Xenopus tropicalis: one gene and its partner. The protein of the gene in region 1 purifies or fractionates together with the protein of each later gene. This does not show direct contact. Links are inferred from orthologs where the notes say so. Each region holds a gene or a part of one and is shown on either strand. Other genes may lie near its edges.

Region 1 (5,846 bases):
AAAAAAAAAAATATACATCTAAGCAACTTTTTAATAGTTGTAAAAGTAATAGCTATTGAAGGCAGTACCTTGTTCTGACTATTGAAACTCTTGTAAAAGCCAACACCTTCTGCAAAGTGATGTGCAGGCTGGCTCGGACCCACAGGTTCTGGCCGACATTGGCACAGCAGAAGTGGGTTGCAGACGGGTTCAGGGCGAGCTCTTAGACTGCCTTGAGCACGCGCCTGCTCTGACCCCTCTGTGATGTCGGAGATTGGAAAGGCGTGGATCTATAAATATATATGGATCTGTGGATTGGGAGCAGATGTGTTAGGGTTGATGCGAGGGGGGTAGGAGCTGCCTTGAGGTGGGGGGCCCTGGTGGGCCCCTGACACCCCAGTCTGACATTGGTTGAGAATATCAAGAGACACTTGCTGCTTCAATAGCAATTACATTTACAAGTAAGTTGAAAACCGCTGAAAATCTGTCAGATACATTTTGACATGATAGGAGAGTTTGTCACTTGCACCCCCCCTGGCTCTCCAGCGATAGAGTTTGAGGCTCCCTCGGCACCCTCCACTCGACCACCCCTCAACTCAAGGAAAGAAATGAGCGCTGGCAAATAGCAGGACAAGCCCTTGCAAATGTTATTGCGGAAGTGCAACTTTTCAAGGCAAATTGGGTTGAGAAAGGCATTCTTTGTCCTGAAACGTTGCACTTCTACAATAACATTTGCAAGGGCTTGTCCCTTTCCTTGTACAGCTAAATATTAAAACATTGCTCTAAAGCAGGGTTCCCCAACCTTTTTTACCTGTGAGCCACATTCAAATGTAAAAAGAGTTGGAGAGCAACACAAGCATGAAACATCTTCCTGGGGTTACAAATAGGGGCTCTGATTGGCTATTTGGTAGGCCCTGTGTGGACTGGCAGCCTACATGAGGCTCTGTTTGGCAGTACATATGGTATTTATGCAACCAAAACTTGGCCAAAAGCCAGGAATTCAAAAATAAACATCTGCTTTGAGGCCACTGGGAGCAACATCCAAGGGACTGGAGAGCAACATGTTGCTCACGAGCTACTGGTTGGGGATCACTGCTCTCTAAAGGTTTCGACCTAACTGAATCCTGCAAAAATGGCTGTGGTTTTGGTTGACACCTTGAATTCAGTGCATCCCTGTTATGCATTTATATATTTTTGACAATTGTGGTGTCAGAGCTCAAATGGCCAGTATTGAGCCCAGCAGTGAAAATGAGCACAATGAATGAATGAATGAATTACATTTTTATTTCATGTGAAAAACCAATGCTCCTACATAATTAGATGCCATTGTAGTCAGAAAAAAGCTCCCATGTATGTGTGCATGTATAATAATGCAGTACTGGGGCAAGCAGTCAGATAGGGCTCCTAAAGATCAGTTCTCACAGTGCAGTTTGTGGTGGGCAATGTTAAGGTTTCAAGAACATCCCCAGTTTTAATGGTTACACTCTGGGCAGCTTGGTCACTGCAGATGTCACATACAGTATATGATGGTATGCGTGCTGTTTCAGCTTAGGCTATTCTAATTATCAATTACTTTGATGGTTTTTCCAGCTATTGCTTTTAGATAAAAAAAAAAATACATTGCATGTCTTCAATTATTGATAAACTGAAAATATGTTTACGGTTTTTGTCTTTATGCCTAAAATATGCATTTACCCCTTCACTGCTGCTCCTCTACTTTGTAGTTGGTACAAGTGGGTGTTCAGTGAGAAGTCTGGCAGATTCTCCCCCCCCCCCCCCCCCCCCATATGCTCCTTGGTTTTAAACCAGACAAGCAAAACTTTATTGAATGCATTAATCGGGTTATATGGGTGGTTATTCGCCAGCAGTATTGTCACATTTATTGTATGCTATGCACTGTCTCATTAGATCTGGAATGGAAGATCATCTATGTGGGATCTGCTGAGAGTGAAGAATATGATCAGGTGCTGGATTCTGTCTTGGTGGGACCTGTCCCCGCCGGCCGCCACATGTTCGTCTTTCAAGTGAGTGTCAAAGAGCTGACATTCCATTTGTCTCCTATCTTGCTTATTTACAGAGTCTTGCATTAGATCAGATTGACGTGAAGTCTTATTAATACATCTTAATTGACTTACCATGGACTGATATGGAGGATTTTTTTCTTTGTTTTATATTTTTAGATTGAGCACCTATAGTAAATTTCTCTCTTCCTATGCAGGCAGATGCTCCCAATTCCAGCCTTATCCCCGAGTCCGACGCTGTAGGAGTGACTGTAGTGTTGATTACTTGCACGTACCGTGGTCAGGAGTTTATCAGAGTTGGATATTATGTAAACAATGAGTATTCTGATCCAGAGCTACGGGAGAACCCACCTCTCAAACCACATTTCGGCCAGGTATTTACATAACTTGTGTGTCTGTGTATGTAAGGCTTTTTGATTAGTATTGTCAAGATCGGTAACCCAGAACAAGGGTCCCGGTCATAGCTCACACTTCTGCCTATAACGCCCACCTTTGGCTTCGGGTTGAGCCCTCCACTACTCGGGTGCCGCCAGGTCTTAAGGTGAGAGGGAGCTTACAAGAATCCAAATCAGGCAGGCCGGGTCAAAACCTGAATGGTAGCGCAGTACACAATCTGGATCCAGAAGCAGAGTCAAACAGGGAGAATTAACTCAGTCAGGATACAGGCCGGGGTCAGAACAAGACAGGACAAAATGCGTACCCAGGAACTATGGTAGGTAGACTTATAACAGGCATGGGAGAAACTAGGAGGTAGGAATTCAAAGCCTAGATAATTACAGATTCAAAACAGGTGTTGGTAAATAAAGGGAGCACCTGTAGCCATCATTCCTGCCTGGATAACTAAGACTATTATTGAAGTGAACCAGGAACCCAGCAGCCAGGGGGGCTGGGACTGATACCACCAATTGGGAGGTCCCTGGGAAAAGTTAGGCCCACAAACTGCTTGTGGCATCTTGCAGGTTTTGGTGTTGGCCTGCTTGCCACTCTGGTTTAGATGACCATTTGTCCAATTTTTTTTTTTTTTTTTTGATCTATCTACAGCTTCAGAGAAACATCCTGGCATCAAACCCACGCGTCACACGCTTTCACATCAACTGGGAATGCGCGAGCGAGGCAAAGATGGAAGACATTGAAAACGTGGACCCTGCCTCTAATGCAATGTTGCCTCCTAACTGTGCCCCGTCTAAGGGTCTTGCAGCTGCACTTAACCCAATCCCAGAGAATTCCATGGACTGTATGTGATAGCAGTAACAGAGGGGCAATATGGGCTGCAGCAAGGGAAACTGCCACAAACTCTCTACCACAACAGTCTCGGCTTCCTGTGAGCACTCTACAATCACTGCCAACTTAACACTTCTGTCGCTCCAGAGTGTCTAGCTTGCCGGTAGTTCCACTCACCAATTAGTAGGATTTTTTTTTTTTTTTACACAAAAGCAGTCTTCCTCTCGTAACGAGACAGATCTTCCCGCCTTTCGCTCAGCAGTATATTATTTCAACTGAAAACTTCCAACCTTTTAATGTTTCAGTGTTTTATATTTCCAAAGCTACCAAGGCCCATCCATTTAAACATTTTGTTACACTTCATTCTTTCACACTGCTATCTTTGTCTCCTTTTTTTCTTTTCTTTGAGCCTGTAAAAGTAAGGCTCTGAGCTGAATGTAGTGGCCCTGGAGTCCCTAACAGCATCAGTTTATAGCTTCCGTGGGTACCTTTTGCCCGTCGCATTATTGCCACCTCCTCTACTGAGGCATGTCGGTACATTCAGCGAGGAAGAGACTTCATTTCCTGCAATTAAATCTCTCTGCTGCCTGGTGCTAATTAATCATGCTGTCACTGACCTTAGATAAACATCGGCTTTGTGAGCCATTGCTGGTAACTTGTTTGAAGCCGGTTTGTCTTTGGGAAATGCAAGATAAGGCATAGAATTTAGCCTAATTGCAAAAATGGTCTTGCATGAACTGGCACATTTTCTTGCACCCAACATGCTAGGAATCTTTATCTACCGGACAGGTACATAAATGAGCAGGATTGCTCTAGTGTTCTCCAGGAAATTGCAAGCATGGCTGTGGACCCCGCAGCCACTGCAACAGACTGTTTTTGTTTTGGTTTCTTTTGTTTTTTTTCCTCTAAATATTACGGACTGTGGCTTTCCAGCCGAAATAAATTACTATCTCAAGGTCTTGAGATATTTGGGGATCCCCAGCCCCACAAATAAGGGGGAGGAGGCAATAGATATGAGTCCTCCCCAAACTCCAGGAGCCTCTCTTGTTTTGTATTTTTGTTCAGCTGCCTTAGCTGGATGTAAATGGTTGATGGCCATTAATTTCCTATGTGTTTTTTTAAAAAATTATTATATATATATGTGAGTAGGAATTTGCTTAAATAAAAGCACTTAGAGCAAACAACTGTGAACTTGAATTCTGATGGTAACTTTATTGCCCACATTATATGTATTACTGAGCAGGGCGCAGTAGTAAACCACCTGGAAGACTGACCGCATAAAGGTGGTTTTAAGGTCCCCATACACAGGCCGATTGTAGCTGCCGATATCTGTCCCTTGGACCGATTCAGCAGCTTATCGGCCCATGTATGGGGCAGGAACGAGGGCCCTGCCCGACCGATATCTGGCCTGAAATTGGCCAGATATTGATCGGACAGGTTAAAAGATTTAGATTTGCCCGTTGCACAGGGCCAAACGATCGAATTAGCCTACATTTTCCCCGATATCGCCCACCCGTATGTGGGGATATCGGGAGAAGACCGCTCGCTTGGTGACCTCGCCAAGCGAGCAGGTCTTAGTGTGTATGGCCACCTTTACACAAGGGTGTAGCAACCATATGGGAAGCCATTTATTGTTGTTGGTGTGGCCTCTGCCAAAGCAGTTGACCTGTAATGAATTCACATTCTTATAAGTATATAGAGCCAATTTTTTTGGGAGTGCTTGAGAGTAAATTTGCAGAGCATTGTCCACTTGTACTTACTAGAGCTGTGATCCCCAACTAGTGACTCATGAGTAACATGTTGCTCACCACCCACTTTGATGTTGCTTGGCGGCAAAAATTGGGAGCACAGAGACCGTTTTACTCCAAACAAAGCTTCCTGCAGGCCACACGGGGCTTATTTGGCATCCCCAAAGAGCTCTCTCTATACTTGTGTGGCTCCTGAGTAAAAGGTAGGGGATCCCTGAACTAGAGGATCATATTGGAGACCCATGTGACCATGAACCTGCATCTGAATCCAGATCTTCTCCAGAAGGGATTTTACATTCTGTTTAATCAGCGTACAACCCCAAAATGATTTATGAAGCTTGAAGGGGACAGTGTTGTGCCGACAGGCTGCAATTATCAACCAGTAATGAGCAGCTAATATCTAGAAAACATAGGCATCAAATGAGGGCTCATAGCTGGCACAAGTTTGAAAGTAGGGATGCATCAAATCCAGGATTCGGCCGAATCCATGGTCCTGGACGAATCTGGATCCTAAAAATCACATGACTTTTTGGCACATAAACACAGTAGTTGAAAAGTTTTCGCCAGCAACATTTATGCCTTTCAAACCCTAACTAGCATACGCTAATTACGATTTGGATTCTGTTCACTATTCGGCTGAATCCTTTGCAAAGGATTTGGGGGTTCGGCCAAATCCAAACTTTTTTAGATTCGACGCATCCCTAGGTGAAAGCAGGTTGGGAGTTGTAGTCCAACAACTTCTGGCGACCCAAGATTATTTGTTGAGGATCTTAAAGGAATAGTAACAACAAAAAATTAAAGTGTATCAAACTAATATTATATGTACTGTTGCCTTGCACTGGTAAAAGTTGTGTATTTACTTTAAAAACCCTACAAT
Region 2 (6,479 bases), on another chromosome or scaffold:
CCTTTTTTAGGGCAACCTAAGATTTCAGAATATTCATATATTTAGTTCCGATTCTGTGAACAGACATTGTATCAGGAGCATAAGTTTTTTTTCTTTTTTTAAATGCATGAAAATGTAGTAGAAGTCCCGTGTCTACTGAATGCGCCAATACTCTATGTATAGTTTTCAAAGCACCACTCCAGAAAGCTGCATACTTTAGTTTTCAAGGCCGAAAATTCCACTGACAATAGGTTGACCCAAGGAAACCTTACATTTTGTAAAGATCACATTTTGATGAATTCAAAGTGTGTAAATTCTACTCCAAACTGCAATGCCATCACAAAGCTTCTAGTTTATAGAATTGTGTCTCCTACAGGTCATAAGGTACCAACATAAAATAGGTTCTATGACTCCCTAACAGCAAACACCAGAAAGCTACATTCTTACGAATTGAACTACATCAAACTACCAAACCTTTGTTAAAGACAAAATGGTAAAATGATAAATAAGAGAAGTTAGCGGTTATGTTTTTGTGCAGTTAGAGCCTTTGTACAGCTGTGTGCTTAAAGGGATGCTGGTTTGGTTTTATGTGATTAAATGATTACACCTTACCTAGTAATGGGTGGGAAAGAGTGTCCATATAAGCACAAATGCCCTTGTGAATGTGTATTTCATATAAATGGTTGTAGATAAGTCTCCCACACCATGCTTTTTCAAGCACAAGGCTAGAAAAGGCAATTCAGTTCCAGGTAAATCCCATGTGCATCTTAACCCTAGACAGTTATTATTAAAGTGTAGCATGTTGGAATCTTTCATACTATAACCGTATCATTGATCAATTGCTTCCAGATTCTTATTTTGCCTAAATTTTGATAGATCTCGTTTATATATTCACCTCTTAATCATTTCATTGGATAAAGCCTGAGTTTTATGGATAGGATTCCCCAGGCTGCCTTATACTAAACAGGAGTTCCAGTGACACAGCTAGGCTGTTTTGGGGTTGGGAATGCTAGGGGTGCTTTCCAGTTTGCTACAATCTTAAGTCATAGAGCATTATATTTTCTATTTCACCTCTGCTAGGACTCCATGCCTTTGGTGGACCAACAGCTGCTGTATAGTTGTTGCCCATATCTGGGTAAGTAACATCCATTAAACTAGTGCTTTTTCACCAATTGTTCATTGTATTGTGTGCATGTATATATGTAACATGTTTGCTTTATATCATTTACAGGAGAACTGAAAAAGTTACTGTTATCATTTGTGGCTGGTAGCAGTGCCAAAAATGGGGGTTTTCTGAGGAAAATAACTCCCACTGCTGCAGAGCCTCTTATCCCAAAGCCTACCTTATCACAAAAAAAACTTCAGGTAAAATGAATGGTTTATCCATTTATGTAACAGTGGAGAAAGTAAGGGACAGCAAGTATCTTGTGGTTCTGGATTCCAGCATTCCTGTAGTAGGTGCTCTAAGCCTGGGCTTGGCATGGTGCAAGAATCCATTAGGACAGATACATTCTGTATGTACGTAGTTTCCCTAGCTATTTCACCATTACCTTATGCCACTGTCTTTACAGTTGCACGTTCAATGTGCCAGCCAACAGAGAAGCAGTATTGTCAGTCTGATAGCAGATACAGTTGTGCAAGCGTTAGAAGCTTTCATGATAAAAACAAAAACCCAATAGTATCATCATAGATGAGGTTGAAAAAAGACACACGCCCATCAAGTTCATCCTGTTTAAGTGAAGCCTACCTTACTGCTAGTTGATCCAGATTATGTAATTCCACACAAATTAATTTAAATATGCACATAATTAGCTATGCAGTGTAACTATGGGCATATGAACAGGTGTGGGGAATGTCCATGTATTTTACTAGTTAGGGGTAAAAATCTCGGAACCGATTTGTAAAATATTAAGCTGGGAATTCTGAAGGATTCCTAGCAGTTCATTATTTTCCCCATTTATCAACAGTTTTCTGACTGGAAGATTTTAAATGAATTAACACGTTTATGAAAGCTGATGCCTGGCTCAAGCATGTGTTCAGTCAATCATCCTTCTGTTCCTATGGGGGGATAGTGATCATTTTATGTTGCTGTAGTAGGTGTTTCTGCTCATATTTGTACAGGCCGAACTGGAGCAAGCATTCTTCCACAATCAGTCGCCCTCTCTTCGGAGAACAGTGGAGTTTGTGGCAGAACGAATTGGTTCCAACTGTGTAAAGCACATCAAGTAAGTGGTTGTAAGGGTTTGCAGGCTCTTTCTATTAATGCTAGACATGTTCTAACAAGATATTCATGGACTATAAATAAGCTGTGCATTCTGATGTGCATGTCTTCATTGCAATACTTTATAAATATCCGTTGCTTACAGGAGAGCATTTTTTATATATTGGGTTTGGTTTGTAATGCTATGGTGGCGTAAGTACTACAGTGACAGTGTGTGGGTATGCAAGCCGGACTGTTTGGTACATTTACAGCTGAGCTTATTTCCTGCAGGGCCACTCTTGTGGCAGAACTTGTGAAGAGGGCAGAGCTCCTCCTGCAGGATAGTGTGACAGAGGACAGTTCTACCCACAGCAAGCAGCTTGAGACTGTATGCACCAAGCTCTGTGAAGATGGCAGGCAGGCAGTGCAGAAAGGCAAAGAGTAAGCTCAAAAACACTATATATATACACTCCTATTTTGATATTACTGTTGCTATGCAAGTTGCCATTATGAATATGTTTTCTGGGGCAGCTTTTAATGGGAGAAACAGAATAGCTGTATTACAATATACAGTGGTGTGAAAAACTATTTGCCCCCTTCCTGATTTCTTATTCTTTTGCATGTTTGTCACACTTAAATGTTTCTGCTCATCAAAAACCGTTAACTATTAGTCAAAGATAACATAATTGAACACAAAATGCAGTTTTTAAATGAAGGTTTACGTTATTAAGGGAGAAAAAAAACTCCAAATCTACATGGCCCTGTGTGAAAAAGTGATTGCCCCCCTTGTTAAAAAATAACTTAACTGTGGTTTATCAATTTCAATTTTCAATTTCAATATCAATTTCTGTAGTCACCCCCAGGCCTGATTACTGCCACACCTGTTTCAATCAAGAAATCACTTAAATAGGAGCTACCTGACACAGAGAAGTAGACCAAAAGCACCTCAAAAGCTAGACATCATGCAAAGATCCAAAGAAATTCAGGAACAAATGAGAACAAAAGTAATTGAGATCTATCAGTCTGGTAAAGGTTATAAAGCCATTTCTAAAGCTTTGGGACTCCAGCGAACCACAGTGAGAGCCATTATCCACAAATGGCAAGAACATGGAACAGTGGTGAACCTTCCCAGGACTGGCCGGCCGACCAAAATTACCCCAAGAGCACAGAGACAACTCATCCGAGAGGCCACAAAAGACCCCAGGACAACATCGAAAGAACTGCAGGCCTCACTTGCCTCAATTAAGGTCAGTGTTCACGACTCCACCATAAGAAAGAGACTGGGCAAAAACGGCCTGCATGGCAGATTTCCAAGGCGCAAACCACTTTTAAGCAAAAAGAACATTATGGCTCGTCTCAATTTTGCTAAAAAACATCTCAATGATTGCCAAGACTTTTGGGAAAATACCTTGTGGACCGACGAGACAAAAGTTGAACTTTTTGGAAGGTGCGTGTCCCGTTACATCTGGCGTAAAAGTAACACAGCATTTCAGAAAAAGAACATCATACCAACAGTAAAATATGGTGGTGGTAGTGTGATGGTCTGGGGTTGTTTTGCTGCTTCAGGACCCGGAAGGCTTGCTGTGATAGATGGAACCATGAATTCTACTGTCTACCAAAAAATCCTGAAGGAGAATGTCCGGCCATCTGTTCGTCAACTCAAGCTGAAGCGATCTTGGGTGCTGCAGCAGGACAATGACCCAAAACACACCAGCAAATCCACCTCTGAATGGCTGAAGAAAAACAAAATGAAGACTTTGGAGTGGCCTAGTCAAAGTCCTGACCTGAATCCTATTGAGATGTTGTGGCATGACCTTAAAAAGGCGGTTCATGCTAGAAAACCCTCAAATAAAGCTGAATTACAACAATTCTGCAAAGATGAGTGGGCCAAAATTCCTCCAGAGCGCTGTAAAAGACTCGTTGCAAGTTATCGCAAACGCTTGATTGCAGTTATTGCTGCTAAGGGTGGCCCAACCAGTTATTAGGTTCAGGGGGCAATTACTTTTTCACACAGGGCCATGTAGGTTTGGATTTTTTTTCCCCCTAAATAATAAAAACCCTCATTTAAAAACTGCATTTTGTGTTTACTTGTGTTATCTTTGACTAATAGTTAAATGTGTTTGATGATCAGAAACATTTTGTGTGACAAACATGCAAAAGAATAAGAAATCAGGAAGGGGGCAAATAGTTTTTCACACCACTGTATACAAATAATAATACAACTAGATTAAGTGTGATCCTTATTAAACATAGAACATCTATACACTCACATAAACTATATATACAACCACTAATACTAACTGTAGATATTAGTATCACAATAGCCTTGGATATTCTGATTGTTCAAGAACTCATCCAGGCCCCTCTTAAAGGCATTAACAGAATCTGCCATTACCACATCACTAGGAAGGGCATTCAGCAACCTCACTGCCCTCACTGTGAGAAACCCCCTACGCTGCTTCAAATAGAAGCTCCGTTCCTCTAATCTAAAGGGGTGACCTCTGGTGCGCTGATTGTTTTTATGGGAAAAAAGAACACCCCCCATCTGCCTATAATCCCCTCTAATGTACTTGTACAGAGTAATCATGTCCCCTCGCAAGCGCCTCTTTTCCAGAGAAAACAACCCCAACCTCGACAGTCTCACCTCATAGTTTAAGTGAATGTAAAATTGCTAAGAGTGCTATTCTAACTAATTTTGCAATTTTTTTTTCAAGATTTAAAGGAATATTAAGGGATATATGCACTGTTAATATGAATTAAGTTGTTACACAAGCGCCACCAGCTGGTCAGTAAGGGCTGCTCTGATGTTTTTCTGGTTAGGGAAAGCACCCCAGTAGCTTTTCTCACGTCTTTCCTAACCAGAAAAACATCAGGCCAAGCCCCCTTTCTCCTGACAAGTTCCTCGACTACACCATGGCGGGAAACTGACCAGCAGGTAGCGCTGCTGTAACAAAATTCATTATTTATATTAAATTGTATTATTTATATATTAACTGTACATATTTCCCTTAATATCATTGAATCTTTAAAAAAAAAAACAAACAACAAAAACAAACAAACCTGTATTGTTAAAACTGCTTAAAATAGCACTGTCATCAATTTCACATTTACTTTTTTTGAAGGTTTACTTTTTCTTTAAATTGATCATACAGATCACACACAGAATTTGTTTTTTACCAGGTTACAAGATGAGCAGATCTACCTCCTATACGATGAACCAATTAATCTGTTTCAGTTTTATTTTAAATTACAAAATTTAAATGACCCCCATTTGGCCATGGACCCCATTCACATGTGGATGCTGTCTTCAGCTGATGGGATGTTCTGCCTGGCCTAAAGCACTCCTATCACATTTTGGTCTGGGAGTCGCTTATTTTGACTCTGATTGTACAGTGAATGTTCTATATTCTGTGCCCTTTTATTTCGTTAGTGCTCATTTACTGCATATTGCTGTTTGTAGGTATTGCACAAAGAAAGTTCCAGAGGCCCTTCGAGTTCTGTTGCCTGAGGAGATATCTGCATCTGTAGGTAGCGCTACTTGCTTTGCAAAAATGTTGAGAATATTATTGTAGTATTGTAAAACATTTACATTAATTTGGACAAAATAAATAGGCATTTCTTCTCGAAAAGTGTCAGAATTCATTCTAACCAACTGCTAAGTGTAGAGTTAAAGGAGGAGAGTGGTCCTGGACACCAAAGCTTTAGTCTGTTCTTGCTCGTAAGCATTGGCACCACAGAACTGACCTATGGAGGGCTTTGGGGGTGTACCAACTAGGGAACATTGGTTCACACACACGTTCCCCTTACCATGCCTTTCTCGCCTAAACTAATATTCTCTTCCTGATTGGATACAGCAGGCATGTTGTTGCTAGAAAGGCAAATGGATGGGCTATGTATAACTACCGTAGGCATGGCTAAACCCCTTTATCCAATATGGATTTGTAAGCAGTATTAATAATTAATAATGTATAGTTAGTAAATTTAGTAATATAGTTAGTAATTATGTAATTAATGATATAGAACTGAATTCACTTCAATTTCTATGTATGTGTGTACATATTTTGTTTATATGGTGCATGATCATATTTTGGTGGTTTGTCTCTTTTCCCCTCTAGGTGCTGAATAGTGCTGAGGACATAGCAGTGGCCCTAGCTATAGAGAAGGCATGCTCCTGGCTACGTGCCAATATATCAGGTAGTTTTAACACATAAAGCCATATTTAAAAGTATCACTGAACTATATCTTTTTGAGTCCTAAAAATACAGTATCCTGCTGCTCACTGTAGGCATGTACAATGGAA

Evidence for each region. Proteins that work in one complex are often made in the same cells at the same time.
Region 2: the proteins of asf1b (region 1) and cdan1 purify together in Homo sapiens (co-immunoprecipitation; 5 studies listed by BioGRID and IntAct, counting the BioPlex papers as one, with this or other methods). This does not show direct contact. The link is inferred for Xenopus tropicalis from reciprocal best matches to the Homo sapiens genes ASF1B and CDAN1.

The regions. Positions count from the first base shown.
Region 1 is NC_030679.2:134,220,413-134,226,258, reverse strand, and holds the end of asf1b (histone chaperone asf1b), read left to right. Parts: intron 1-1,887; coding exon 1,888-2,003; intron 2,004-2,197; coding exon 2,198-2,374; intron 2,375-3,041; coding exon 3,042-3,242; 3' UTR 3,243-4,402; downstream 4,403-5,846. UniProt on the Homo sapiens protein: Histone chaperone that facilitates histone deposition and histone exchange and removal during nucleosome assembly and disassembly. Cooperates with chromatin assembly factor 1 (CAF-1) to promote replication-dependent chromatin assembly.
Region 2 is NC_030684.2:105,934,325-105,940,803, forward strand, and holds part of cdan1 (codanin-1), read left to right. Parts: intron 1-1,059; coding exon 1,060-1,114; intron 1,115-1,210; coding exon 1,211-1,344; intron 1,345-2,100; coding exon 2,101-2,204; intron 2,205-2,470; coding exon 2,471-2,620; intron 2,621-5,639; coding exon 5,640-5,703; intron 5,704-6,294; coding exon 6,295-6,373; intron 6,374-6,479. UniProt on the Homo sapiens protein: May act as a negative regulator of ASF1 in chromatin assembly.